Alligator mississippiensis: one gene and its partners. The protein of the gene in region 1 binds, or shares a complex with, the protein of each later gene. Links are inferred from orthologs where the notes say so. Each region holds a gene or a part of one and is shown in the gene's direction. Other genes may lie near its edges.

Evidence for each region.
Region 2: the proteins of NMT1 (region 1) and NCS1 are in contact, whole or in part, in a crystal structure (PDB 5O9S), measured with the Homo sapiens proteins. The link is inferred for Alligator mississippiensis from reciprocal best matches to the Homo sapiens genes NMT1 and NCS1. Residues at the interface, in NP_066565.1 of Homo sapiens: Tyr180, Val181, Glu182, Asp183, Asp184, Asp185, Met187, Phe188, Arg189, Phe190, Tyr192, Asn246, Thr282, Ala283, Gly284, Arg295, Tyr296, His298, Ser300, Lys310, Phe311, Ser312, Tyr401, Leu403, Ser405, Tyr420, Gly468, Ile469, Gly470, Asp471; in NP_055101.2 of Homo sapiens: Gly2, Lys3, Ser4, Asn5, Ser6, Lys7, Leu8, Lys9.
Region 3: the proteins of NMT1 (region 1) and AIFM3 are in contact, whole or in part, in a crystal structure (PDB 6SJZ), measured with the Homo sapiens proteins. The link is inferred for Alligator mississippiensis from reciprocal best matches to the Homo sapiens genes NMT1 and AIFM3. Residues at the interface, in NP_066565.1 of Homo sapiens: Tyr180, Val181, Glu182, Asp183, Asp184, Asp185, Phe188, Arg189, Phe190, Asn246, Thr282, Ala283, Gly284, Tyr296, His298, Phe311, Tyr401, Ser405, Ile469, Gly470, Asp471, Asn473, Leu474, Leu495, Gln496; in NP_001373743.1 of Homo sapiens: Gly2, Cys4, Phe5, Ser6, Lys7, Pro8.
Region 4: the proteins of NMT1 (region 1) and HPCA are in contact, whole or in part, in a crystal structure (PDB 7OWM), measured with the Homo sapiens proteins. The link is inferred for Alligator mississippiensis from reciprocal best matches to the Homo sapiens genes NMT1 and HPCA. Residues at the interface, in NP_066565.1 of Homo sapiens: Tyr180, Val181, Glu182, Asp183, Asp184, Asp185, Met187, Phe188, Arg189, Phe190, Tyr192, Ile245, Asn246, Phe247, Thr282, Ala283, Gly284, Tyr296, His298, Ser300, Lys310, Phe311, Ser312, His313, Tyr401, Leu403, Ser405, Tyr420, Gly468, Ile469; in NP_002134.2 of Homo sapiens: Gly2, Lys3, Gln4, Asn5, Ser6, Lys7, Leu8, Arg9.

What each region holds. Positions count from the first base shown.
Region 1 is NC_081827.1:161,560,227-161,567,223, reverse strand, and holds the start of NMT1 (glycylpeptide N-tetradecanoyltransferase 1), read left to right. Parts: upstream 1-3,981; 5' UTR 3,982-4,008; coding exon 4,009-4,133; intron 4,134-6,997.
Region 2 is NC_081835.1:58,961,482-58,968,419, forward strand, and holds the start of NCS1 (neuronal calcium sensor 1), read left to right. Parts: upstream 1-3,930; 5' UTR 3,931-4,001; intron 4,002-6,938. UniProt on the Homo sapiens protein: Neuronal calcium sensor, regulator of G protein-coupled receptor phosphorylation in a calcium dependent manner. Directly regulates GRK1 (RHOK), but not GRK2 to GRK5. Can substitute for calmodulin. Stimulates PI4KB kinase activity.
Region 3 is NC_081833.1:33,547,818-33,554,777, forward strand, and holds the start of AIFM3 (apoptosis-inducing factor 3), read left to right. Parts: upstream 1-3,951; 5' UTR 3,952-4,124; intron 4,125-6,960. UniProt on the Homo sapiens protein: Induces apoptosis through a caspase dependent pathway. Reduces mitochondrial membrane potential.
Region 4 is NC_081829.1:5,211,162-5,219,056, reverse strand, and holds the start of HPCA (neuron-specific calcium-binding protein hippocalcin), read left to right. Parts: upstream 1-4,888; 5' UTR 4,889-5,172; coding exon 5,173-5,433; intron 5,434-6,226; coding exon 6,227-6,631; intron 6,632-7,895. UniProt on the Homo sapiens protein: Calcium-binding protein that may play a role in the regulation of voltage-dependent calcium channels. May also play a role in cyclic-nucleotide-mediated signaling through the regulation of adenylate and guanylate cyclases.

The sequences.
Region 1 (6,997 bases):
AGTCTCTGCTTGGTTAAGCCTGAGTAAGAAACTAAGGGGTTTTTTGGTTACCACGAGTCCATGGCAGTGGTGCTCAACCTTCCAGCCCCACAGGCTGGATAAGTATATTGAGCCAGTCCATGGACCAGATCCCATGAGCAGTTGGCATGCAGGCGTGATACTGCACCAGCACCAACCCCAAACACCAGATCAGCCACATGCTTGCCCAACCCTGACTGCTGAATCTAGCTGCAGAATGACTCCATGTGTAAGCCCCACTGCCAACTGGAGTGATCCAATGCAGAGGCATTCAATAAATCCGGCCCCCCTGCATCCTGTCATCTGGCCGGTGGGGCTCCCCGAGGGTCCCAGTCTCCACATGGGGAAGTGACGCCAGGACTGTGGCCTGATCCTGGCGTGCAGGGTGGATCTGGGCAGAGGCAGTGGGGCCCCCCCGAGCCCAACCTAGACAGAGGGAACCAAGGCGGGGCCCCAGGGCCCAATCCTGGCACAAGGGCCGGATCCTGGTGTGCAGAATAGAACTGGACAGAGGCTGTGCAGGCTCCCTGGAGCCCAATCTTCACATGAGGAAGCAATGTGGGGCCCTGAGCCTGGCACATGGGGTGGGGCGGAACAGCACCAGGGCCCTCACAGCCCAAGCTCCACTCAGGGAAGTGACAGGGGGCAACAGGGCCTGATCCTGGCTCCCCAGGTCTGCACCTCTGGCAGCAAGGGGCTGTCAGTTTACACTACTGCCACTCCCCTGCCCTGCCGCCAAGCATCCCAACCTGAACCTGGCCTGGAGCCTGCAGCATGCGACCCCAGTCTGCCTGCCCGCTCTCATCCCCCAACTACCGGGGCTTTGCCTTTGCTTCCCCAAGCCTGCGGGGATGCCTGCAATGCAGCAGCTCCGACCCCTTTTTCTTTGGGACAAGGCCAGCGCTTGGCTCTCTGCGCTTTTGGCGCCGGAAGAATACTAGGGGCGCTGCTGTGGGGCGCAGCGAGACGCACGGGACCGAGGGTCCCTATGGGGGCGCTAGGGGCGCAGCGACCGCACCGCGGGCAGGCGCCTACGCAGGGAGTCTCGGGTCGCCACAGCTCGCCCTAGCTTTTCACCCATCCACCCCCACCCACCGCCGCCACCGAGTTAGTGAGGCGGCCACAGGGCGCAGACACCCCCTGCTGGGGGCGGGCGTTCCACCCGCTAGCTCGCTCCCATTGGACGTGGGGCCGCACGCTGGGGCCCAGCCACGCCCCCACCCTGTCCATCATCGCGGAAGCCCCGCCCCTAGCCCCGTGTGCCCTTGGAGGGAACCTGAAGCCTCCTAGTCCCGCCCCCCTTTGCCTCTAGTTCCACCCGCGAGACCCCCTTCGCGCGCTCCCCTTCCCTCTCTCTCTGCTTCTCCTTCTCTTCAGCCTCCGGCCCCCTCACCTCTCCAGCTGCCGGGCACGGATTCACCCACCCCGCACTATCATGCTCTGCCATTGGTGGAACGCAAAGTAGCTCCACTCGCTCGACCAATCGCGACTATTCTGATTCGTCTAGCTCCTCCCCCGCCCCTCTCGGGCAGAATGTTAAGTCACTGCAGGGGAACGACTGGGAGGTCGCTTGATTTGGATGTGGAAGGAGAGGGGGATCAGAGGGAGCCCAGGCAGTACTTACCCCAGTGATTCTCAGCCCCGCATCTATGAGAGCCACTTGAGAGTCCCCCAGTCAAGAAACGTGAAACAGTTGGCATTTTCCGAAGGGTGCCTCATGGCTACCGAGGGGCACCTTGTGCCTGTGAAAGCTGAGACCCATTCCTAGAGTGTTTAGTGGCTTGAGAATAAGCACAGCTAGCTCGGGCCTTCCTGCACTGGAGTCTACGTGAGCAGACCCCGTGCACCTTGTGGACCATCTTGGGGCTCCAGAGAAATCAAGAATCAACCTAGGTGGAGTCAGCTGCGGGATAAGGGTCTTGCAAATTAACCTGTTACTTGAAATCCAGCCAACCTAAAGGAACAGTGAAATATGCTGACTGCTTTTGTTCAACTCTCATTTGATACAAGGTATTTGGTGGTAAGAGCAGAGTCAGCACCATGCCAAGACTCCTCATGAATGGTGACCTGATGAAGAATGTCTTGCATTCAAATGCTTGTGTACCTGTCCCAACTATCTAGTTGGTCCAATAAAAGATATCGCCCTAAGAAATCCTTGTCTCTTGCATAGTTTCTGGACCATCACAGCTACAAGGTCACTCTTGCACTACTGAAATTCCTACTCCGATACCTTTCTCTGCTTGATTAAATTACCTCAGCAGATGGATATGTGAAAATAAACCACATAATCACAGCAAAAAATACTTTCTTGCGTAAGGATATGATAGTGAGAACTGGGATCTAGATGGGAACTGTGTGCCAGATCAAGAGCTCTATCTAGTCTAGTGTCCAGTGGCCTATTGCTGACGTCTTTTCAATGTAAATCTTATCCCCTCCTACCTCTTAATGTAGCTGCCTGATCTTTGGGGTCTATGTCCAGTACCCAATTGCTGATGTTTTTAAAATACAAAACCTGTCCCCTCCCACTATTTAATGTAACTGCCTGTTTGTAGCACAGAACCCCAAAATAATTGGAGGCTTTACAGAACATGTGAAAGACACACCTACCTGGAAAGTTTACAATCTACGTGAATGATTCTCCACCAGGGTGCCATGGCACCCCGGGGCACCTGGAGAACTTTTCAGGGGTGCCACAGCATGCCACACAATGTTAGGTATGCAAACACAATTTACAAAATACAACTGGAGTTTTCAAATGGGAATTGATAGCGTTAAGGCCACCCTGCTCTGCTGCGGGCTTTCCAAGTTCTTTACCACAGAAGACTTGCTCTATTATTTTTCTCTAGTCAAAACACAAGTGTGTAATGTGAATGTAAGGCGTGTAGTAGCAAAAGGAACCTGGGGGTGGTCTGCAAAGCAGTGCTGACTGCTAAATTTGGACTACAACTCCCAGAAACCCCTAGGGGCTGAAGGAAAAAAAGGAAGAGGAAGCTTGAGGCTGGAAAGACGCGGGAGTGCATGTGGAGCCTGGTCAGCCCTGCACAGAAGAGTTCATTGGGAGAAGAGTGGATTGGGAGGCCTCACAGGCTTGGTCAGCCAGGAGTGTGGCCTAAAGAGCTGGACTCGGACTGGGGGGCAGCAGCAGGCTGCTGCTTGTGGTCTGCCAGAGAAATTATGGTGCCGAGTGTATGTTATCACAGTGTTGATGTTTCTTCATTTTTGACCTGTTCCCTCCCTTTGGCTTGTAACCCCAACCCCTCCAATTTTCTGTATTAAAAATGGCAGCTCCCCTTAGCTACTTGTGCCAGTTTCTGGGGCTGCAGGTAGTGTGGCCATCATAGAGGACAGTCTGGTTGTCCTCTGTCCTCTTGATATGAAACTGGATGCGTTTATGTCCTGTTTCTCTGGAAGAGAAACATAGAGGACATAAAGGTATTGGGTTTTGTATCAATAGAGGACAGAGTAGGGGAATGTCCTCTACGATGGCCACCCTAGCTGCAGAGTTGGCACAAGTAAAAGCTAAGAGCTGGCCTTTCCAGGGGGAAGTATCAGTCTGACATGGGGCACCTCAAGCCTAGCACGGTTGAGAACCACTGAGCTAGTTAAGCTGCAGTATGAAGTGCTGGAATTACTGAACCCTTTGAAGCTTCCCACTCCTGCTTCCTTCCGAGGCCCAGTTCCCTGCGCCTAAGCATGGGTGGCTGTAAGCATCCTTGACCCAGGACAATATTTAAGTCCCTCTTTGGACTCACGCCTGTGGTCGCCAAACACAAATAACTACAAGTCCCAGCACGCGCCGGCGGGCCCGGGACCGGCTAGGTTAGGCTGCCTTGACGCAGAGCCTGCTGGGAATTGTAGTCCCTTGCTCATCAACGGCTCCCTTCCCTTCCTCCGCGAAGACTGCACGTCCCAGCATGCCCGGCGCGGTGGCGTCCAATCGCTGCGCACTTTGTTGTGGGGGTGCGGCACCCACTAAGGCCCCGTTTCAAGATGGCGGACGACAGTGAGACAGCAGGGAAGCAGCCGCCGTCGCGGCCCCAGCGATCGTCCGGAGAGGAGAATGACCACGAGCACTGCAGCGATTGCGAGAACGAGGAGGATGACTACGGCCGCGGGTAAGCGGGAATCCGGGTCCATCGGGCCCCCGCGCAAAGAACCTCCCGAGCGCCCGGAGGCGGGCAGTGGCAGGGAAGTGAGTCTAGCTCCGCCTCGCGCGCGCCCTGATTGGCCGGGGAGTGGAATTTTACCCTTTGACAGGCTAAGCGCTGTGTCAGTCACGAGGGGGGGTGGCCTGTGGGCTCCCATTCACTCGGCTGCCTGCAGTAGCGTGTCCTGTGAGCTAAGCAGGGTCGGGCCGATGGGAAGGGAGACTTCCACGGGGCAGCTCTAGAAGCGACTACTTAGGGGTGCTGATAGGAGCTCTTCCTTCCTGCTTAGTCCTAAACCCACTGTCCCTGTTGAGATTAGGGACCAGGGTGGTGCCACTGCCCTGGTATTAAGGGTTGCTGGTATTGCTACAGTCCTGATGGTTGCTTGGATGTTGCCCCCCCCTTCCCCTGCCCCCTTAGCTGTGGTGTTTGGGGGTTCAGGGAGGGAGACCCCCCCCCCTTGTCCCTGGGCTGCTGTGCTGGGTTTGGTTGTCATCTGAAGCATAACCTGGGGTCCCCAATGCCCATAATCTTTGGCAATCCCATGAGATCTGTCACAGGAGTTAGTCAAGGTGTCCTGCCTAAATCCCAGCTGGGGCAAATCCATTCAGCTGCCTTAAAACCACCTACAGATTTGTTTGGAAGCTGTTCTTTGCTTGTGATCTGCTGCCATGTTTGCTGCCTCTGAGCAGCTGCAGTACCTTACAGTGGGGGCTGTATTTTGCAAGGGGGTTAGTGACTCTTGCCTGCGTGTCTCTATGTGGTTGGAAAGCACTCTGCCTGATCCTGGTGTGGCTCCTTCTGGCAGGCAGAAAGAGCCATGCAGAGACATATTTTGCCTGCCACTCTGCTCCTTGCATGCTGAAAGGTAGAGAAGAACAAAACCAAATGACAGATGCAACAAAACTGAAAACTCCTAAGCAATGAGGCGGCCAAAGGACTGGTTATGTAGCTTTATGTAGAATTGTGTTTGTCCACACCCAGGTCTAGAAACAAAGGAGGTGGTGGCCCCATATTCCCAAAAGGACTCCATTAGTAAGAGAATCCTCCTTGCTTGCATCAAAATTATTCCGAGGGGCTTTTCTTTTTACTGCAGAAAACTGAGAGGAGACTATGCAGCCCCATCATGGAGACTGTGACTCCTCATTGTCCTTTACTTGACAATACCGGCTTCTTCCTCTTCCTGCATTGCCCAATGTCCCTGTCAGGGGTCTGCATACTTAATAGTAATACTTCATCAAACTTTCCTGCCAGGGTTTGTTCTATTTTTCCCTCTGATCTTTGGGTCTTCCAGTGAGCCCCCATGTAAAAAAGACAAGTCTTGGAATCTTAATTCCTTAGAGTCTATTCAGACTGTAATAGGAGCAGTGGATAAGCACTGTGGCTATTAGCAGACTTTTAATATGGTTTCCCTGGTCAGGGTCATTAGAGATTTCTTTCTTGAGAAATGTGATGCTGAGCATTCCCTTGGGTCTAGTCCATGCATATAGGTCAGGGAAGCAATGCCTATTAACTACGTGTATAGTTGCCCATAACAGTTGTAGCTAGTGCGCTTCTAATTCTGTAGAAGGCAAGACCTCCTTTTACTGTTTCTGTTGAATCCATTTTATTCAATGAACTGTTTTCTCAGACATATTTGTTCTGCAGTACTCATCCTACCCAACCTTCCTTGGTTTTGGTATTTAAATAATTCAGCATGCAGGGAAGGCTGACCTAAGATACCATTGTTCTTATTTGCTGTTTTTTATTATGGGTTGATATGTGTAGTAGGGCAGATTTATTTTTCAACAGCTTTGCGGTGAAATGCAGTTTTAGTGTTACAGAAGTAAGAGGATCATGGCACCCCAGAAAAGGGCATCTCTTTTCTCCCATCCCCTTGTCACCCACACTAGAATACAGAGGACTTCAGTAGTGCAGATGGTATAAAGGGGAGGATTTTTGTCCCATTTAAGCCTGCTTTGCAGGCATTCTATTTTGCATTCTGGGGTGACAATCACATGTGCCACCACCTTTTTTCCCAGAAATTTGGGCAATGCAGGAAGAGGAAATTGCTAGTGCTATGCAATTTTTAGCTTCAGTTGGAAGTCTCTTCTCATTTTTTTTCTTTTTGTCCATGTCATTGGCCCCATTAGGTGGTTGGCCTCCTGTGAGATTTAGACTATAGCTAAAGAGCAGTCTCTGTCAGCAGCATTTATTAGGCAATATTTCTCCTCAGAAAATCCAAGCTTAATAACAGGCCACTTAAAAATATTACAGAAGCTTTCTTACACAAATACAGACACACTTTTAAATTTCAGTTGCCTCCTGGGTGCGGCATTGCATCTCAAATTAATAGGGGTAATGCTGTTATAGGCTTGAGAAGCTTTTCTTTGCTTTTCCTTTCTGTTCTTCTCAAGTGATATGGTATGTGAAACAAGTGATAAGCAGTGTGTAAATCACCACAGTTGGCTGTGTTTTTCAGTTATACTTCTAAGTCCAACTGGATTTTAAACTCCTTCACTAGGGCTGGCGGGGGGTGGGGAGTGTGCCTTTAATCACTGTTGGTGTCCTAGCAGGGGCAAGGCAAGTTTGGGTTCTAATACCTGCCTGAACCTTAGCACATGGTGACTGTATCTTTTTAATAGTTTACACTGAGGTTAGGACACACATTGTATCAAACCAACAGGTGTTCAACATTTGTATCTTGACAAGAATATTGGGAGTGCCCAGCCCAGCCCAGCCCAGCCTAGGTTTTAAAAGAGTTCTAAGCTCAGTTTGTGTGGGAACCAGAGTTAGAAATCAAGGCCAGTGGATCTAGTCATAGTGAATACAAGCCTTAAAGGCTCCCCCAC
Region 2 (6,938 bases), on another chromosome or scaffold:
TTTCTTTGATTGTAGCACTGACAATGTGTCCGGTGTTTCTGCTGCATGTGAATCGGAGGAGCTGAAAATATAATGTGACTCATGAGTGACCTCAGAAATCAGTGGGGTTCCACCTAGCGCCCAGCACAACTGTGGCCATCACAATTGTGCGCCTTGTGCGTTATGTGTGTACTTGGACTGGATTGTAATGGACATGAAGATTGAACTCCCCTTCTCAGGTCTTTTCAGAGTGGAGAACTTCGAGTGCAAAAGCTTATATGGTGCATGGGTGCAAAAATGTGTCTGTCCAGGGCCCTCTGGCCATCCCCAATATCTGTGTGTCACACTGGAAATCCAGACTGCACCCTGCCACCTCTGCTACACCCCAAGGGATGTAGGCCTGCTCAAGGAATCTTTTGCCAAAAGATTTTCTTTACACTTCCCACAGTGTTTCTCTGTCCCTTTGGAGCAGTCCTCACAGGGGTACCTCCCTCATGCCAACCCACCCCTGCCTGGAAATGTTTTAAAGAGAAAGGAGAAAAAAGCCTTTCCACATGAGCCATGTGTCCTGAGCAGCCCAGTGAATGGAGCCAAGTGGCTCTGCTGTATGCAACTGCTGCAAATCGCACAGCTAACAGTGCTAGCGTATTTAGTGAAGACAATACTCTGCCACATTCCCATTTTTTTTTTTTTTGATCTCTCAGAAAACTTTTCTGGGATTCAGCCTCTTAACAAGCAAGCTGTCCAGCTGGAAATGCATCTTGGAGGCTCAGAGGAGCTGAACAGAACTGGGGTCGCTCTGCCGCAAGCTGAATCTGCAAAGGGCGGAGAGAAGAGTGTTTTTCCCTGTTGTTCGCTACGCAATCCTAGCAGGCTTAAGGACCTGCAGAAGTCATTACCTTTTGCCTTCTTGTGTCTTAGCCCTAGGATTTAATACATAAGGCAGGCAAAAAAAAAGAGAGGAACCAATTAGTTCACAACATCCCGCCCTCTCAAGGTTGCTGTATTAACATAATAATTATGCCCTAGAGGCTGTGGAGAGAATGCAGTCTTCAAAAAATATACTGGAATTTAACGAGAGATTAATAGTGTAGTGGGTAGTCGTGCCCAGCGCACCATCTGCATGTCAGCCTTTAGAAAGCAACTGCGCTGAGCCATATGTAGGCATGCCTGCCACTACCCCTTCTCTGATGCTGGTCCATGGTTTCATGTTTAAAGACCCACCATCTGGAGGAGAAAAGCCTGCAGGACCCCTCTCCCAGCTGGCACCGAGTTGGTACATCAATACATTTTCCATTACTCTCACTTGAAGTCCTGTTGGATTTCGGTACTAACACTTCATAGTATGTAGAACTGATTTATTATAGTGGTGCCCAGCAGGGCTGCTGGAGCTCAGGTCCCTCAGCATTTGAGGTTATAAACCTTAATTTCCAAGGCTCTGTGATTTGGCTGCTTATAGCTCAGTCATCAAAGCAATTACCATGTCAATCCTCTGCTAGGATTTTACATTTTGAAAGTGTGACCTGTTGTGGGTTCAGGGCCAAAACAACAGCTGGTCCAGTCGTGTCTTGTCAAGGCGAGGAATGCTTCAAATATGTGGTGTTTGGTAGACAAGAAGCAATGGGGTCGTAGGTAAGGCGGCTCACAGCACCCTTAACTTACCCTGTTCTGCTCTGGAGTTGGTGCCTGGGTCTGAGGTCCCTGAAATGCCAGGGCAGAGGACAGGAGGGTATATGAAGGAAATGGGCCAGATTCATCTCTGTGTAACTGCTGATGGCTGCTGCCTCAGGGATGAATTTGGCTCAGCCTCAACCTTTTTCTGCCCTCAATAAAATTACCATTTCTGTGCAATGCGTCCAACTGGAACCTGCAAGGATGTGCATACAAAGCACAGTCCAGTCCAATGCTCCATCAAGCACGTGTTGGGAGGCTGCCAGAGCCTCAGCCCCACGGACCGAAGACCTTGCTTCATCCCTGAGCGGGTGCCTCTGGGATAGTGCATCTGAGGTCTGTCTTGCCACATCCTGCTAGCACACCTCGCCCCTGACCTGGCAGGCCTGCTTCCAAGGATGGCATAAGTGCCTGCGCTCTCTGCCAGTCCCGTTCTCAGCTCCTAGCTGGGGGCAGCCAACAGAGGTGCCAAGAATTTCTTTGGCTTTTGTCAGCTTGAGTCAGATCATTAATATTATCCTAAAATAGCTGTTTTTTTGCTGCCTCTGTAGTTAATCAGCCTCACGTGTAAATTCCTTTCCCTCCCTGAGACGAGTCCTTGCCATGTTTCCCCCCACCAAGTCTGGCTTTCTATGAACCCTGCCGGGCGGGCTAAGTGCACGAGAGGGGCTGTTCACTTTTACAGCAGGGCTGGATTTCCATGCTTTTATTCACATTGTGTGACACCTTTACGTCAGGTGTAGACGCCCTTCTTCATGGGGCCACCTGGGAAGTCCGGTATTACCAAGGCACAATTTGAATTGAGTTGGCAACCTCCAGACCAGAACAAGCTATCCAAACAGCAAGCGCCCCCCACCCTTGGCATGCAGCGGTATGAGAATCATCTCTGCCGTTGGAAGGAACTAATTGCTAGTTCCCTAGTCTGCTACAGGAGATGGTGGAAATACAATGATCATTTGGGATAATGATACTGAGACAATAAGCACACAACACTGGCAACATGCCTCTTCCCCCGTGATCCCAGCCTGCTGGCACCAGGACTGATGCAGGAGAGCCTCTGCGAGCTCTCTGCTGACGAGCGGCGCTCTAAGTATGAGTCTACATTGATTGTTCGTGGAACCACATCAGCACGCTTGGCCCCGCAGGCGCCTCTGCTCCCGTTTGCCTGGGAAACTGTTCAGCCTAGACGATGGAGGGCAAAGGGATTTCTCACACCTGCTCAGCACTTCACCAAACAGAGCAGGATGGTCTCAATGGCGCTGGAACCGGGGCAGATGAGTGAGGACGCAGCAGCGGCCGTACCTGTGTGGAGTGTGATCTACCAAGTCCAGCGCCCAACAGGCCTCAAGCTACGCACGTCCTGGCGCACTGAGCAAAGACGGTCCCATGCTCAGAACAGGTTCGGTAGGATTTGGAGAGGTCCCCTGGCCTGGTGTTGGTGCCCTTTGTGACTTCCCTACCCCAGACGGGTGTGGGGAGGGTAGTTAAAAACACAGCAAGGTGCCCATGATGGCTCCATGTGAGAGGGGAAGGCAGCAGTAATACATTTCCCTTAGCCATCTGCATAGCTGATTTATGAGTTTAATTGTCTGCAGAATCATATTTAAAAAGCACCGGTCTCAGGCTGGAGGTGCCCTGCATTGCAGGTAAGTTATCAACACACGTGCACAGAGACCCACAGGTCAATACATGCACACACACAAATAGACGTGCACACACAGTGCACAGGTAGGCTATCAACACCAGGCCAGCAATAAGCAGGGGGCAGGTCCAAGCCAGAAGGTCCTCCATCCACACAAACCCTCCTCCTCCTCCAAACCCTGCTCCTCCTCCTCATCCTCACCGCGTGCAGGGCTGGGGAACGAGGTGGGGCAGACCGCAGCGGCGCTCAGCCTTGCTCGATTTGTTGGACTCGAGGCCCCTGCATTAGGCGCGAGGCCACTCTTGGAAAATACCAGCTCCTCACTCGTTTTATTTGGGGTCAGGAAGGAATTGCCCCCCCAGGCAGAGGGGTGGGGGGGGTGCCTTCCTCCATAGCAGGGCTCTCCTGAGCGAGTGTTGACAAGGTTTTATAGCGGGCTCCCCTGCTTTACCCGTGGCGGGCTGAGCTGGGGGTGATGGTCCGGGATGGCTTGGCCTCTGGAGGTGCTCCCGGCCCCGCGTCTCCCCCACGCCGGCTCTGGGGGGAGCCGGAGGTGGGTTTTGTGTGTTGCCAAGACCCCAGAAAGGCCACGACAGCGCCGGAGGCTTTTAAGGCGGTGGGGAGAGCCCGCGTGGACCCGCCCCGCCCGGCGCGGCCCGGGGCGGCGGAGGCGGAGCTGGGGCCCGGGCTGGAGCCGCGGTGGAGCGCGGTGAGTGCGGGGCGGCGGCGGCGGCGGCGGCATCCCCGGCGGGCGCGGGGCAGAGGGCGGCGCGGCCCGGGCGGCTGCGGAGGAGCCTCCCCGCGGGCACCGCCCGGCCCCGGCCCGGCCCGGCCCGACCCTGCCCGCGTCCCGCCGCCCGGCCTGCGCGGCACCGACCCCACCCGACCCGAGCGGGGCGCGGCTGGGCGGGGCGGGGGTGCGCACGTGGATGTACGTGTCTTCGCGTGTGCACATGGGTGTCCGCGTGTGCGCCTGTGCGTGCACCCGCGTATCCCTGCGTGCACATGGATCTCGGTGCGCGCGCGCGAATGTGCAAGCGCGTGTGCGCGTGTATTCGTGTGTGCGTGCACGAATTGACCCGTGGGTCTCTAGGTGCACGCGTGTTGTGCGTTTGCACGCATAGGTGTGTGCACGTCTATTTGTGTGTGTGCGTGTGCATGTATTGACATGTGGGTCTCTATGTGCATGCGTGTATTTGTGTGTGCACGCGTGTAGTTGTGTGCTTGTGTGTCTGCATGTATGTATTTACCCACGGGTCTCTGTGTATGTGTGTGTATTCGTGTGTGCACATGTAGTTGTGCGTTTGTGTGTGCACATATGTGTGTATGCCTGTATTTGTGGGTGCATGCATGTATTTACCCATGGGTCTCTGTGTATGTGTGTGTATTTGTGCGTGCACATGTAGTTGTGCGTTTGTGTGTGCACATGTGTGTGTGTGCCTGTATTTGTGGGTGCATGCATGTATTTACCCACGGGTCTCTATGTGCATGTGTGTATTTGTGTGTGCACGCGTGTAGTGTGTTTGAATACACACATGTATGTGTGTCCATGTATATATTTGCCCATGGGTCTCTATGTGCATGTGTGTATTCATGTGTGCACATGTATTTCTGTGTGTGTGCGTGTAGTTGTGCAGTTGTGTGTATTCGTGAGTGTGCTTGTATTTACCTGTGGGTCTCTATGTGCATGCATGTATTCGTGTGCACACGTATTTCTGGACGTGCATGTGTGTGCACATATTTGTGTGCACACATATATTTGCATGTGTGTACATGTATTTATGTGCATGGATGTGCTTGTATTCATGTGCATGTATTGTGTCCATCTGTGTGTGTGTACTTGCGTGTGTGCGCATGTATGTACACGTATTTGTGTGCATGTCTGCTTATGTGTGGGTGTATCTGCATGCGTGTATGTGCATGTAGTGTGACTGCATGTTTTCGTGCATGTAGCTGTGCATGCGTGTACATGTATTTGTATGTATGCAAATGTGTGTGTGCATGCGTGTGTGCACACATGTTTGGCCGTGTGTGTGCACGCATGCGTGCACGTGCAGTGTCTGGCACACCCAGGCTTGAATGCGGGGTCAGGGGGTTCAGGACTCCTGTGATGTTCCAAGCAATGAACTAGGAGCAATTTGGGAGGCATCAAATAGGTGCACACGGTCCCTTTGGTGTAACACTGCTGTCACACAGCTCTTGTAACAGCTCTGGGCCTCTGTACTCAAGCTCCTTGGGGTGCTGTGACAAGGTTTCTTTGAATAATTGTGATATCTTTTATTAGACCAACTACATAGCTGGAAAAATTGTTCTTTGTGAGCTTTTGGGTGTTGTGCTTGTTTCTACCAGTGATTCTCAACCAGGAGGATGCAGCAGCCAGCAGTGCCTTGAGAGTCTTCAAAGTGTTTGCACCGTTAGGCGGGCAAACATGGTTCCCATGATAAACCCAGAGATTTCCAAGAGGACCCCATGTTGCCAAACCGTTCTGAGCTCTTGGGGCCTTTCTCGGGTCTTGGCAACCGAAAGAAAAAACTGCTTTTATTTTTCCGTAGTCAAAAAAAGGAGTGAAAAGTAAGAGCTGGCATTTTGCAAAGTGGGCCTCGCATCTAAGGAGGGGCGCCTTGAATCTGAAAAGGTTGAGAACCACTGGTTTACGCAGACCCAAAGGCAGGCAAACGAAGATGTCGATGTTTGCCACTGCAATGTTTTGGTCCAGCAATGTTTTGCCAGAATGATTTATCAGTTATATAACAATAATAATAAACTCCCCCTCCCAACAATGTCCTGAGTTTAAAGCAGAAACCACTGGAGATGCTTATTCAATTATGTTGGACTGCAAGGTGGCTATCCCACCTGTAACAGAGCGTATTTCTGTAGCTAATAGACTTGCTGTGACCAGTTAGGGAGAAGTCATTCTGTTTAACTCTCTCAAATAAATACCCAAGGAAACAAATGCCTGGTGCACAACCGATCTTACTGTACTCCAAGCCCACACGCTTCTGAGTTCTTCCAGTAATAAATAACGCAGAGCATGCTCCAGGCTTTGGCGCTGCTGGATTTGAAAAGACGCTGGCTTTTATTTAAGTGTGAACTTCCTCCCACCCTCCCGCTCTCACCCTCTTTGATCACAGAGGCAGTAGAATAATGAATATCGTTGAATGAATAATCATTTCCATGGCAGCGGCTTGCAATATGGTGAACAGAAGGTGTATAAACTCTGAGCACAGACTGAAAAAGCTAGTTCTGAAAACCCGGGACTTAATATCCTTTGTGGCATTGTGTGTCTATTGCTGTTGCCGTGTTGTAAGAGTACCCAAGATAGTTAGTGATTACACTGCAATATTGTACTGCAGTCGCTCGCTGCCTGGTTAACGGAGAGCTGCCTGGGACATGGACGTATACCCCAGGAGAGAAACGTAGCGGGTTTAGGAGCGAGGCTGCATTCAAAGGCTGGCCCAGTGCTGAATTTCCCCTTCAGGCACATTATTTGGATGCTTCGTTTGTGCACAGATCATTTGTTAGTGCTCACATTTAGCTAGATGGAACGGCTTTGCGCCTCCCCGCCCTTTTACCATTTCACACCAGCCTGCCCCAGAGACCTTTCCAGGGGGCTTGGAAATACCACTATGTTCCAGCAAATGCCACC
Region 3 (6,960 bases), on another chromosome or scaffold:
CTAGGAAATATATGGAGACATAGGAATGCATTTGCTTTGCTTGCAGTAGCAATGGGTTCAATTCCTATCTAATCTCTTACAGAAATAGTAAAAATTCTTTTACCTTCACATCAGGATTTATAGTTCTTCTCACATGCCAATGCAGGCAGACTAAACATTGACCAGGGTGGTTCAGGGTGAAGTTTCCTGGTTTGTGGTCAGATGGTAAGAAGTCCAACTCATAGGTAGTCTCTTGCAGACATAGTGAAAAATATATTTTAGTATTTCTATAAATTTTTCATTAAACTACAAGGATTTGGGAAAGGAGGGGGGCAGAGAATAAATCCCTATATGAGGGGGAAAGAAGTCCTGTATATCACGGAGGAGTGATAAAATGCATGCAAGACAGAATTGAAAGAGGGGAAATATATAGAAAAGACTATGAAAATGGGTTTTATTTAGAGGGTTCAAAGACAACTCGTAAGGCTTTCTTTTTTGCAAGGTTCTTAACACTGTCCCATGACATTCTCATTAATAAGTTAAGAAAATAGAGATTAGACTCAAGCACTATAAGGGTGGTAAGTACTATAAGGTTTTCCTTGCTTTTTGTGGGTTCTGTATGTGCGAATTTGCTTTTATGTGATGACCCTTTTTATACCAAAGATTCATTATATGCGAGGTAAATTCGCTCTTATGCGATTGGTGTGGTGGAAGCCTGCAGTCAGCAGCTTTGTGCAGTGCATTGTGGGAGTGATCTGCACCAAAATATACTCTCCTGTGTGGATCTGTGCTCCTCGCTTGTTGTCTGGGACACGTGTTTCTATAGTTGCCATCCGCATTAGAAAGTGCATACAAACACAGGGCACTATCATACTGTTGGTGAGTACCAACATTGTCTTGTAAAAGTGGCAGAAATGGGTCTGGCGGTCAGTACAGTTGAGGTCTTGGAACATAGCCCTATTTGTTACATTGTAAAGTGGGTTCCCTTTATGCAAATTTGAGTTATGCACTGTTTTCAAGGAATGCGTGTACAGCATAAAGCGAGGGAAACCTGTAACTCTGGGGTTTTCAACCTTTTTTTTTTAAGGAGTGTGCCCCTTCTGGTAGGTACCCCTCCTGGACAAGCAGGGGGAGGGGCGAGGGAGTCCCCCACTGGCAAGTTGATGGGGGGGGGGGGGTCCCCCAGTGGCCAGTTGAGGAGTGAGGGTGAGGTGGGGGTCCTCCAGCAGCCGTTTGAGGAGGAGGGTTCTGGCTCTGCACCGCCACCCTTGCAGCAGGTGTTGCTGCTGTGTGCCACTGCCTGGTGCTGCCATGTGGCAGGCAGCAGTGGTGCATGGCATCAGGTGCACAATGGCGCATTTCCCACATACCCCTGCTTCTCTGCGCCACCACTGTGTACTCCCTGGGACCTTCCCAAGTACTCCCAGGGGTATGCGTACCCCTGGTTTACAACCCCTGCTGTAATTAGTTGGATCTTTTTGATCAACGAGCACTCAATGGCTCAAAGTCGTTGGGGGGATGTATCAGGCGAGGCCCCAGGGATCTACCCTAAATCTAGTATTGTTCAACATCTTCATTAATGATTTGGATGATGGGATTAAGTGCATGCTTAGCAAATTTGCAGTTTAGGAAATCTGTGAATGACATCAGGCTAGGTAGAGTTGCAGACACTCTGGAGGGCAGGACTAGGAGCCAGAATTACCTGAATAGATGGGAAAAATGGTCTGCAATCAGTCAGATGAATTTCAGCCATGAAAAGTGCAAAGTCCTGCACTTGGGACAGAAAAATTGCATGCACATCTATAAACTGGCTAGGTTGCAGTACTGCAGAAAAGGACCTGGGGGTTACAGTAAGAGAATATGAGCCAACAGTGCTTTTGTTGCAAAAAAGGCCAACATTGTACTGGAGTTTATTAACAGGAATGTCACTTGCAAGTTGAGGGAAGCAATTCTTTTGTTCTGTTCAGTGCTGTTGAGGCTTCAGAGTCCTGTGTCAAGTTTTGGGTCCCATGTTTCAAGAGAAATGTAGACTGATTGAAAAGAGTTCAGCTCAGAACAACAAAAAATGATTAGAGGCCTTGGAAGCAGGACTTGGGAGGAAAGGCTGAAAGAGCCTTTAGTCTGGAGAAAAGGCCAAGGCGGGGTTTGATAATAGTCTTTAAATACCTGAAAGGTGATTATAGAGAGGATGGAAATGGGTTTTTCTTTGTGGCTGTAGAGGACAGGACTAGGAACAATGGGTACCTGTACATGTTCTGGGAGGCTGCTCTGATGCACTATAATTACAACATGTCAAAGCAGACTAGGTTAATCAAGTCTACTGGAGCGTTCTAATTAGCGCATTCTAGCTAGCCACCACATCTCAGGCATCAGTGTCCCTGCATTTCAAACTGGCGGCGGGGGCGATTTAGCTAAAACTCGTTCGATAAAGCACCCCGCCGCCATTTTGAAGGGCAGAGATGCTGACACATGAGATGCTCCAGGTGCTTTAATTAGAGCAACTCTTGGAGCCGCTCTAAATAAAGAAGGCCCCCACCCCATTCCCTGAACACACATAAAAATGTCCAGTGGCCTCAAGCTATAGCAGAAGAAATTTAGGTTGAAGATTAGGAAGAATGTTATGATTATGAAGGTGGTCAAGCATTGGAGCATGCTACCTAGAGAAATTGTGGCATCTCCATCCTTGGAAATTTTCAAGAGCAAGTTGGACAGCACTCGGCTGGGATGGCTTAGTCCTGCCTTTGAGCAGAGGGCTGGACTAAATCACCTTGTGAGGCCCTTTTCAGCCATACTTTCCAACAATCCTATAAACAGGGGGAAATAAAAATATAAGGGATTGCACTCCACGTGAATTGTATACATGGTCTATATGGTATCCCTTGGGCTCCCCTACATTCCAAATGAATGGTATAGAAAGCCAGTGCACACTCTTGGACCCCACATGAATGGTATATCATATCGCCTGCTGCCCTGCAACCCTGAAAAAATGGTATACCACATTTCATAGTTTCATAGTTGGTAGGGTTGGAAGGGACCTGAGCAGATCATCAAGTCCGACCCCCTGCCATGGGCAGGAAAGAGTACTGGGATCAAATGACCCCAGCTATGTGATTATCTAGCCTCCTTTTGAAGACCCCCCCCCCGGGCAGAAGCGAGCACCACTTCCCTTGGAAGTTGGTTCCAGATCCTAGCCGCCCTGACTGAAGTAGTGCCTCCTGATGTCTAGCCTGAACCTACTCTCAATTAACTTGTGGCCATTATTCCTAATTACTCCAGGTAGTGCTTGGGGGGAACAGGGCCTCTCCCATTCCCCGCTGGTTTCCCCCCAGTAAGTTTATAGATGGCCACCAGATCTCCTCTCAGCCTTGTCTTGTGGAGGCTGAACAGGTTCAGGTCCCATAGCCTCTCCTCGTAGGGCCTGCCCTGCTGCCCCCTGACCATGCGAGTGGCCCTCCTCTGGACCCTCTCAATGCTGGCCACATCCCTCCTGAAGTGTGGCGCCCAGAACTGGATGCAGTACTCCAACTGCAGCCTGACCAGTGTCGCATTACTCTACTCTATATGAATTGCATATGATTCTTTCTGCTCCTAGTGAGTGAAACACCGTATCACTGCACTGTCTTGGATCCTGTATGAATGGTATGCCACACTCCCTCCCAATAGCCCACACAAATAGTATCCCATACCAACAGTACCTATGAAAGCCATAAATGGTAAGCAGACCTATTGCAGCCCCATATCTAAATGAATGTACAGCACCCCACATGAATGGTGCACTGTGCCCTCTCTATGCTTGTACCCCATGTGAATTGTCTATCTTGCACTGTAGACCACTGCAGCTCAGATATAAATGAAATTCCATTCCCATAGCACCCCTTTCATTTTGCATGAATGATTTCACACTCCCTGCATCTCTCTAGTACTTCTCAGTAATAAAAAATGCAATAAAGCAACTCATTCGCAGAAAAGGACGTTGCACATGGCAAACAAGTATGTGACAGCACTGAAGCAGTTAAGAGACATTCAATGGCATTCTTAACTCTGACATCACAGCCAAAAGGCCTTCTGTCACCCTCAGGGACTTACGCAGCGAAGTCTTTAGAAATGTGCATGAAGTTCTTCAATAATCAAGAGCGTCTATAAAGGTAAGGGCTGCAGCAGCAGCATGGGTAACTCAAGGGAAACGGGCGGGGGAGGAATGGGGGAAATTCTTGTCTTGCTGCTTTTCTGAGCTACTTTATCAATACTGCGTGCAGCCCAAGAAAACTGGCTGTACTCCCTGCTGCAAACCTAGGATGAGCTGCATTACACACTTACCAGCTCGTTTCTGGTCTTTTCTAAATACTGCCCTGGAATACAATGCAAATGCCTGCAAAGTACAGCATCTTGCTGCTTGGAAGGACTCAGAGTCTCTCTTATCACCCTCTGCTTTAGGCTAAGGGTGATTTCAGTCTTTCTCTTTAGGTAAGCAGTCACTTTGGATCATGCATTTTTTGTTTTATGAGCAGCAAATGAATAAGTTTCTATTTGTACAAAAGCAAACAAGACTGTTTTTCTCACATTTTGGTGATTTATAGCTTATACAGTATAGATATGTTGATTTTTTTTAAATTTTTTTTTTTTTTGTACTGCTTATATTGCTTTGGTAGCATAATTTTGGGTATATGAATAATAGACTGTCTGTAACATCATCCTACTTAATATTTTCTCAAATTTAAAATTTAAAGCCTAAGAAAGGAATGCAAGCTCACTCTGTCTCATCTAATTTAACACTGAGACTGCAGTTCTCATGCTGCAAAGGGCTTTATTATTGCCAGCACAGATTTCAGAATGAGCAGCACAAAATGGCAATATTGGATTTCAGCCTGATGTGCTAGAGATGTTTTCCGTTCAGCTTCAGTTTGTCCCCAATTCAAAACCTCATTAACATGATAAATAAATGGTGAATCAGTTTGTCTCCAATAAACAAATAAATGTGGAAATCTGGTCAGTTTTTTCTAGGTGCCTGACCATGAATTGAGACTGCAGTTTTCAAATGTAGGAGCTGGGCACAAAGTTCCCAGTGACTTTCAGTGGGATTTTGGTTCCTATTTCTTTGTGTGTCTAAAAATTCTAGCTGTAGGAGCCCAAAATTTTGACCTAACTTCTGCAAATGGGCCCAAAACAGAGTTCCAGGTGGGAATATTCTTCTGCGTTTTAAATCTAAATATCATGGGTGTGTGCTAATAAGAAGTTTGATCCTGGGTTGAACTAGATGAGTTCTTGAGGTCCCTTCCAGCCTTACTTCTATGATAACAAGCCTTGCTGGGCTTTATCTCAAGTTCTGAACTAATCTTGCATGACAGTGATCAGTTACTTTAAACTGTCTAACCTGAGAGATGAGAATAATCTCATTTGCCAATGTGAGAAGGATGGACACTATTTAAATAGTATTGGCAAAACAGTTTGTGTCCCTTTCTAACATACATACATGAATACAGTATACATGTTCATTCCGTATGCCTTCCAGTTCTAACTGACTTCCCTGTTATTCAGTGTTGGTATGACCCAGAATTATTACCCTGTTTTTTTTTGTTTGGTGTTTTTTGTTTGTTTGTTTGTTTTTTAAATACCTGATTTAAAATGCAGCTAGGGCTACAGAAATCACATTGCCATCAAATGGAATATGACTTAAATATGTTAAATTCATCTGTTACATGAGCCTGCAGACTCAGTAACAGAAATATCCTTTTCCTGTGCAATAATGAAATTCTAAATTTTAGAGAGCAAGATGATGATTTAAAAATAATGAATATCTCAAAGTTACAATTCAATTCTCACTATTTTGTTTGTTGCAAAGTGCTTCAGTTCTACACTGTGCAGTCTGGCACTCATGAAACTTGTCAGTGGTTCCTTGTTTATTGATGCGCCTTTGAGATTAATAATTAAACAGATCAATGTCAATTTCAAAACTTTTAATAACTTGCAAAGAACATATTAAACCTGTGGCATTGAAAACCCTGCTGAATGAGCCTTTATACTCTCCAGGTTAAACTGCTCAAGTAACAGTTAAAACAATCCCAGCTAACTGCTATCTTTAAAAGAATTCCTGGTGATTCTTAAAACCTTCTGGACACATTATATGGAAGCAGCTTAGTAACTAAATATTAGACACAAGCAGAAACTTAGTGGCTGATATGGTGCTTCGAGATGCACCTTATTCAAACCTTAACAGCAAGGAAATCATGGGTTTGAGAAGTCTCCTGCATTTCATGATGATTCTCATCACTTCATCACAACACACTTCAATGTTTTTGCTTCCATTTCCAGTGGCACCAAAAATTATAGCCTGTTGGCAAGCACAGCCATTTATCACGTCTGTTAGTGACTCACAGATCTACTTCTATTCTGAACTCCTCTCCAAACTTAAATCTTAGTTTCTCTTTGATATCCCCTCTTGAACATCCAAGCATCAGGCTGCAGTCTTGAACATGGGAACTTGGCTTGTCACCCCATGAATAGCCCACCCAGGCTGGTCAAAGCCAGTGTGAAGCCTCTAGTAGGACCTAACCCGCAGACTGCTCCCTGTTGTTGGAGTGGTTGGCTAGGGTGAGCTGACACTCTATTTCCCACATATAAACCCCCTGACACAGAGCAGGAAGTGTCTGGGCAGTAGGGCAACCTGGCTCAGGACTGCTTGTGTATGTCCCCTGGCTTTCTGCTTATCTTCGTTCTCTGTCTGATCTTCCAGCTTCTTGACTCAGTCCATTCCTGGATTTAGTTCTCTGTCTGATCTCTTAGCTTCTTGACTCGGTGTGTCCCCGGACTTTGCTCCTGGATTGGCTTCCTGACCTGGTTAGACTTTGAATTCTACTTATCTATGAAAATCCGAGTCAGTGTCTTGATCTGCAAGTGATCCCACATCTGTTCACCCACATCATGACATGACACAAGGCCAGAACAGAGCTCCTAGTCCTCCTCTCTTGTTCCTTTCTTGATCAC
Region 4 (7,895 bases), on another chromosome or scaffold:
GGCTCTTCCAGCCAGAGCCCCTGAGCGGGGACCAGGCTGCCTGTGTGACAGGTGTCAGCTTCAGGGCCACATGGTCCTGGCACCTGTGCCCCTGCCAGCTGTGTAATCCAGAGGGCCTCTAGGCTCACGGACATTAGGAAAGCTTGCAGGCTGGTGTCACAGGCAAACAGGGCAGGGATCTGGTCTCCTTCTGTCCTTCCCTGGTGCTTGCTTTGCTCCAAGCCTTCCTGGGGCCTGGCTCCTGGCTGCCCTTCGTGAGCAGTGAAGTGGTTGTTTGCTGTGACTGCGTTTTCCCTCTGGACCCCTGCACCGTGCCCTCCGCACGCCTCCACTGCCCTTCCTCTCCATAGCAGAGCTGTGGGGTTTTGTGGCCTGCCCTCCCTCAAGCAGCCACTGACCCACGCCCCCCCCTCCCCAGCCCTGGCCCTGGCGGGTGTTGTTGGGACACCAGGATGATTGCTGTCAAGAGCCAGTTAAATATTAATGGAGAGTAGGCAGGCGAAGGCGTTGGCTCCGCCAGGCGCTACCGTCCCGGCCTACGCGGCTCCGGCGCGCAGAGCTGAAAATAAACCTCTCAAAAGGCAGCTGACCCAGTTCTGAAGCTTTTGCCGCCAGTACTTGCTTTCCAGGCAGGGCTCAGGCTAGGCCTCTGCAGACAGATGGGCCGTTAATGCCCATCCACCCCGACTCTGGCCTAAGTCAGCCAGTGGTTCTCTGAGGCCAGGAGGTGGGGGCTGTGTGCAGGGAACTTCCTCCAGCAGTGCCAGGCAGGGTTGCAGCAATGTGAACGAGGCACATGTCACCACTGTAGGTGTCGAGGGAGCCACCCGGGCAGGGCATTTCTGTGGCAGGGGAGTGGGGATGCAGTGGGGATGCTTTTGTTCTGCACTGAGAAATCAGGCATTTGCAGTAGCTCCAGCACTCAAAGGCTGAGCAAATGTTAGGGAGAAACTGCCTCCCCCGATCCTATAAACAAGTAGAGTGGAGGGCAGCTCGTCTCACTGCTGACATCGCGACGTGCGAGCATGCCGTGATCCTGCCGGAGAATGGGACCTTGAGAAGTCGGCAATGTCATCTACAGGCACCATCGGGGAGATGGGATTAATGGTTGGCAAACGCACTTCAGAAAGAACGTGAGCTGACATCGCACCTTGCTGCGTTCTCAGTGAACCAGGCCATGGGGCAGGGGAGCAGGCGTGGTGTCGCTGCGGATGGCGTAGTGAGAGCCTCTGGCTACGTGCGGAGCCAGCTGGAAAGACAAACCCAATCAGGACGTTGCAAAGCAGGCTGGAAAAGGACACTGGAGGAATCGCTCCCAATTACATGGGACAAATCCTTACACTTCTTGGCACCATCAGCGTGCTACTCACTGGCAGCTGGTCAGGAGTAGTGGGGCCATCAACTAACCGCATGTCTCCAGCATGGACATCTGAGCAACGGCCCCATTGGAGCCCATGCTGAGCTCAGGGGTTGGCTTGCCCACTACAGCATTGGGGCACAAGGCTGAGAACCCAGGCCTCCGGGGCAGCTCCTGGCGCTGGTGTTTGGATCTTCCAGCAAGTGACAAGTGGGCTGAGAGAAACTCCAGGGTGAAATCTTGAGCACGGGGGACCCAGGGATGGGGCTGGGAGCCTGGCTCTGTCCCCGCCTCTGCCGTAGACGGGCTTTGTCACCTTGAGGAGGTCACTTAACCTCTCGGCATCCTAGCCCCAAGCAGAAGGCTAATTAGCACATGTTGCTCCTTGGGAGCAGGGGCTTGTGCGTGTGAGCATGTTGGGCTGCTTTCACCAGGCAGGTCACGGGGGGATATAGCAAGCTGGTGCACTGAGGACCAAAGCCCATCCTTGCTGGTCCCCCACGAACTGGAAGGTTGTGGTTGAACCTGGCTGCCCTAGGGATTGTGGCCTGTCTGTGTGCATCGCTCAGAGCCCACCAGGCTCAGGGCTCTCCACTTCTGCATCCCTACATCAGATGCTGTTCCTGGCACTCCTCTCTCCCCAGCACACTTGGGTCAAGTGTGCCTTTCTAGCCTGACGTGCCCGCTGGCTAGTGCTGCTCTCCAAGGAACAGGCAGCCACCACCTGCTTAAAACCTGTCGTACTTAGCTGTTGGGAAGCTGTGGCTGGGGAGGGCTGCGATGGGTCATGCCTACAGTCTCACCTGCTCAGGGGATGAATAGGGAAGTTGCTGTGCATTAAAAATGGGGTGTTCTCTCCCACGGACCTTGCCGTTCCCTGTCCTCCACTCCTCGCAGCTCGTTCCAACGGAGGATGTGTTTCCAAGGCTTCTGTTTTATTTCTGGTACAAAGTCTGTGCTGAGATAGCTGTGAAACGGCCTATTGAGCCACTGCTCCAGTCCCTGCCCAGGCCGCAAGCCAGCACTGGGCACATCTGGAAACTGCCTTTGAAATTCTCTTTCTCCCTGCGTGTTCCTGGCTACAGATCTGCCACCTCCTGAATGTCCCGGGGGCACTTCCCTCTCAGACAAGCGGCCAAGAGCATCCCACACTGGCTCCCGCGAGTGTGAGGACTGGTCCTGTCTGCCTCATGCTCTAGGATGATGCATCTCTGCAGTTACTGGTGGTGTGCAGTGACGTGAAATTGTCCTTCGCTGATGGGAGGGAGGGGGTGGGGAGGCAATCGGGAGAGGGCAGAAACATGGGGCTGCTGTGATAACACGGTGTGCAGATGAGCAGCAGTGCTGGTTTCTCTTAGGTGGCCCCGATACAGCTTCTGAGTGAGGTGTATCCACGCTCCAGCTCTGAGCTCCTGCTGCAGTGAGCTCCCCCCTCCTCGGTGGCTGGACCCAGTCTCTCCTTGAGGCTTGCTTCGGGGTCATTCCACAGTTCTTTTGCTTTGCAAAGGCTTGAACCCAAGGAGCACGTGGCGAGAGACCCATGTCTGAGGCCTGAGCTGCAGATTTTGGTCCTGCTCCCTCCTACAACCCTCCTGGACAGGATCACACGCCTCTTCTCTGCTGCTGCATCCCAGCTCAGGCTCCCTGGCAAATCAGTTACCTCTTGTAGGTGCATCTCAGGGCTCTCCAGTAGGCTGAACACATGGAGATTCAAGTCTCCTGCTGCGGTGCCTAAGTAGCAAATGGCTCCAGCCTCTGCTTTCATTACATCCTAATTGAACTAACCCAGCTGGAGGTACCTGGCATCTTAGAGAGCCTGAATGGGTCCCCTGGAGTAGTGCCATGGGGCTGGGGGGAGCTAGGCAGTGCAGAGCTGACCCTGCTGGCATGCAGGTCCTGTGGAGGGGCCTGTCTCGCTCCTGCAGCCAGACATAGCACCCAAGAGTGTCAAGTGCAATGGAAAAAAGTGAGGGGAGGGGAAAGAAACTCCCTAGTTCTAGGATGCATCTTGCCCAGCCACCTTCCTCCTCCTCCTCCTCTCACAGGTTCTGCCTGTTTGTGGTGCTCGCTCCGGTGAACAGAGCTGCCCATACACTTGCAAGGCTCAGAGAAGCACACTCCATGCCAGGACTGCTGCATTTTATGACCCTGTCTGCAGCCCAGCCCAGCCCGGCCGGCCCCTGCACGTACAGTTGCCAGTCAGAGCAGCGTCTGACTGGTGCCACATCAGACCCTGTGGTGACTGCAAGCTGTAGTGGCACGGCACTGGGAAGAAAACTTCCCCTGGGAGACCAGCCTGGCTGTCTGTGGGGGGATAAGCCTGCAGCCAGGGGACGTGCCCCTGGCATAGCCGTGCGTGTGGGGTGCTGGGTGCCCATTGCTGCTGGGAGCACGCTGAAGGGGGGCAGCGGATGTGTATGGAAAAGCTGCTGCTTCCCTGAAAGCAAAGGATCTCTGCCTTGCTGCTGGATCCTAAAAGCTACCTTCCTCCCAGCTGATTCGTGCCGCTCTGCGGTGGTTCCTGCTCGAGTCTCCCTCCTGGTTTTGCAGCCTGTTTCCTACCAGCCACCTGAAGCCCCCCCCCCCCCCCAGTCATCCTGCCAGGCTGTACTGCTCCATGTCCCCCAAAGTCGCAGCGCCACCAGGGGCTGGTGCTGGGACTTGTGCTAGGGCCTGGGCAGCTCAGGATGGCTTCTCCCTGCACCTCGAAGGCAGGGAGCTGAGTGCAAGGGTAACAAGATGCCATGGACCCAGATGCATTTCAGTCTCACCAGCCTGGGCATCATTCACCAGACAACAAGCAGCACCTGCGCCCTGCATGGCCCTGGCCAGCCCTGCCAGTGCCATTAGCCCAGCCCTGGGTGGGCTGTAATGACATGGCTCCTCTCTTCTGGGCTGTGCCTGGTAGCTGCTGTCTACAGGGCAGGGCTCTGCTATTAGATGAACCAGGGACAGGGAGAATGGGAGCTGGGGAGCACAAAGGAGCTGAGTAATAGAGGGGTGGGGGGAGATTTACAGGGGGGCCAGTGACAGGACAGAGGGAGTGATGGGGGAGCAGGTGGGGCTGGGCACAGGCTGTAATAGGGAGTAGGGGGGAGATGTATAGGCTCAATGTTGGGGTGAACAAGGGGAAGAGCTTTCATGGGCCCCCTCCTCCGGGAGGTCTCGGGCCCAGCTGGCCCCTGCTCTGGGGCTGGCAGGCATCCCCTAGTACGGCATCTCTGCCCTGAGCAGGGCCAGTCTATCCCAGGGCTTTGGGGCATCCTAGTGCACTGGAGCAATGACTCGGGAATCCCTGTAGACGGGCTGCCTACCTGCTCCCCGCCTGCTGCAGCCCCCACAGCTCTCTACACCTGATGCCCCTCTTCCTCATTAGGCATGGATGCAGCTCTGTGCCTAATGAGCTGGCAATTACTTATGCAAATGAGGAGCAGAGCTGCCCAGGGATTGCTGCAGGGAAGCTCTCCAGCTGCTGGCCCATTAGTGGGCTGTAAATGGCAGCCACCCCAGCAGGCCTCCCTTTGGCTGCCCAAGGAATGGTGCATACGTGTGCGCGTGGCTGGAGAAGGGTGCTCGGGAGCTGTGCCCGGGGCAGGGATCATCAAGGCCTTAGGCAGATGAGCCATAGAAGGGACACGGGGTGGTTGCCTGTCTGTGTGCTGGTGACGGCTCAGGAACTGGCTTCACGGTGTCAGCTGGAAGTGTAACTGCGCTGACTCATCTGTGTGCACGGGTCTCTAGCGTGGGCTCAGTGGGGCTCTAACGTCCAGCTGGCTTGGAGCAGCTCCCTGCCACGTGCTGTGGTCAGCACTGGCATGGGGTCCCGAGCCAGACATGCTATTCCCATCTGCCTGGCCTGGCCTGGAGCAGGAGGGGTTGAGCTTGCTGCTTTGGAGCACAGGGAGCCAGTGGCCACAGCCAAGCCAGGCTGTCTGTGGTGTGTCTGCAGCTCTGTTGGAGAAACCAGGGCTTGGGCAGCCCCTGATTGCCTGCCCCGCAACCTGTTCTGTGCTTCTGGGGCCTTGGCAGGACCTTCACTAGGGAAGGCAGCCCCTGCCCTGTTAGCACGGCCCCAGGTGAGCCCACAACAAAGGAGGTGGCTTGGGGGAGCTCTCAGGGGAGCTGTGAGAGTGAGTACTGGGTAGTGAGGGGGGGATTGGGGTGCAGTGATGCCAGCCTGCCCGCAGCCCCAGAACCAGGCCCAGCAAGAGCAGTGCCCTCAGTGGGGTGAGCTGCGAATAGGCAGGGAAAGACCCCCCCGCCCTGCTGCCCCCCATTTCATACCTGCACCCTGCCCTCCTTAGGCTCAGTCCCTGTGCAAGGGTGCCTGGCTGAGTGGACCAGGCCTGCTGTGTGAGGGGTCAGCATGCCATGGGCAGACTGGCAGCCTGACCACGTGGGAAGGCAATGAGCTGCATCCCTGGGATGGTGTAGTTGGACATGGCCTCCATTCTTCCTGCTAGCCTGAGGTGGCTGTGAGGGTGGTGGGGAGGTGGGAGGAAGAGTCCTGCCTCAGGCTGGCTCAGGTGCCTTGAGGTGTGCAAGCTTGGCCTGCTTATTGGTGCACAACCAGAGCACCTGGGAACCCTGGTTGTGTATTAGCACCCCAGGGTGTCAGGTGCAGCACACCCACAGAGATGCCGGTCAGCTCTAATGGGGGCAGCATTTCCTAGGTGATGGGGCCAACCTAGGAAAGTCTGTGATACTTTCCATGAAGTCACAAAGGGCAATTCGTAGGCTTTATGGCAGGCAGGGACCATTAGACCAGCTGATGGCCACCTGCGTAACCCAGTCCCTGAGAGATGCTTGCACCTGGTGGGCAGAAGGGGTGACCCGGCGCATGCCTTTCTCACCTCTTTTCGCTCCTAGGCCCCAGACCCAGGCTCGGGCGTGACCATGGGGAAGCAGAACAGCAAGCTGCGCCCGGAGATGCTGCAGGACCTGCGGGAGAACACGGAGTTCTCGGACCTGGAGCTGCAGGAGTGGTACAAGGGCTTCCTCAAGGACTGTCCCACCGGGATCCTCAATGTGGAGGAGTTCAAGAAGATCTACGCTAACTTCTTCCCCTACGGCGACGCCTCCAAATTCGCCGAGCACGTCTTCCGCACCTTCGACACCAATGGGGATGGCACCATCGACTTCCGAGAGTTCATAATCGCCCTGAGTGTCACCTCGCGGGGCAAGCTGGAGCAGAAGCTCATGTGGGCCTTCAGCATGTATGACCTGGACGGCAATGGCTACATCAGCCGGGAGGAGATGCTGGAGATCGTGCAGGTACCACGGGGGTTCCTCGGTGTCAGGTGTCTGTGGAGTTCCCTGCACTGGGTGAGGCGGTATTGCCCTCTGTAAGGGCCCAGTCCAGATGTGGGATGCCTTCCCTTCGTGGCTGCAGTGGGGTGAGGCTGGGGGATCCCACCAGCCAGGTCCCTGCTGTATGCTGCTCTGCGGGCCATCAATAGAGGTCCTCCAGCAGCTCCCCACCTCTCAGGGCCCCAGCCAGCATGCACCCAACCATCACCCTTTCATCATGAAAGGCTGGGGAGATGGTGCACTCTGTGGCCCCCCAACCTTGGCATCACAGACAACCTGTGGCCTGGGAGCCCCTGCAGTAGCACAGGCCCTTGCTCCCCCACATCGAAGGTCCTGCTTTTCTCCTGCTTTGCCTCCTGCTCAGTGCCTTGCCCCTGTGCAGAGTAAATGTGAAACACCCTCTGGGGATGGAGCCCCATCCCCACACCCCATCCTGCAGTGACGGGGCTAGGGACAGGGCAGCCAGGGAGGGTCTGTGGGTTGGCCTCTTGCCTGAGCCGTGTTTCTCTTGTCCCGGGTGGAGGCAGGCTGCCTGCGTGTGCCCCTCTTGGCAGGAGAGGCTGCTCTGGGCTGAGAGAGTACCAAGAGCTGCTTGCCTTGCTGAGGGAGGGGGCTGCAGGCTAGAAGCAGGAGCAGATTCCCTCCCCCCAGCACTGCGGCAGGAGAGGTTTGCAGGCAGCTTTTGAATAAGGGCAGGCACATAATAGAGAGGCTCCCTGGTTCCCTGCAGGCAGTTCTCTGTTCCCCCCTCCTTCCCTCCTCTGGGTACAGCTCATTGCTCCCTGCCTGGTGGGGCTGCAGAGAGCAGATTGTGGATCTGAATTTAATGGAGATTAGCCGGCTGGATGGCGAGCTGACCAGATTACCGGAGGGCAAGGGTGAGGGCATTGTCCCTCCCAGCCCCTTCTGCCTGGCTCTGGTGCAGACAGGAGATGTGCGGACACCCACCCTGCTGCTGTTGGCATATGGGCGGTGTGCCTGGCAGGCTCCGGTTCCCACGATGGCAGGGTGACACCTGTTTACAGCAAATGTAGCTGTGCCTGGGGGAGCCATGGGTGCGGATCCTGGAGCCAGCTCCTGGGAAGTAAAGCGCCAACGCCGTGTCCCATGGGGAGACCGTTGGGCTTGCGGCGGCCCAGCAGGGCTGGTATCGTCACTGCTGGGAGCTCGGGGATGCCAGAGGGATCACGGCCGAGGCTGCTAGACCAGGGGGGGATTTGCAGAGGAA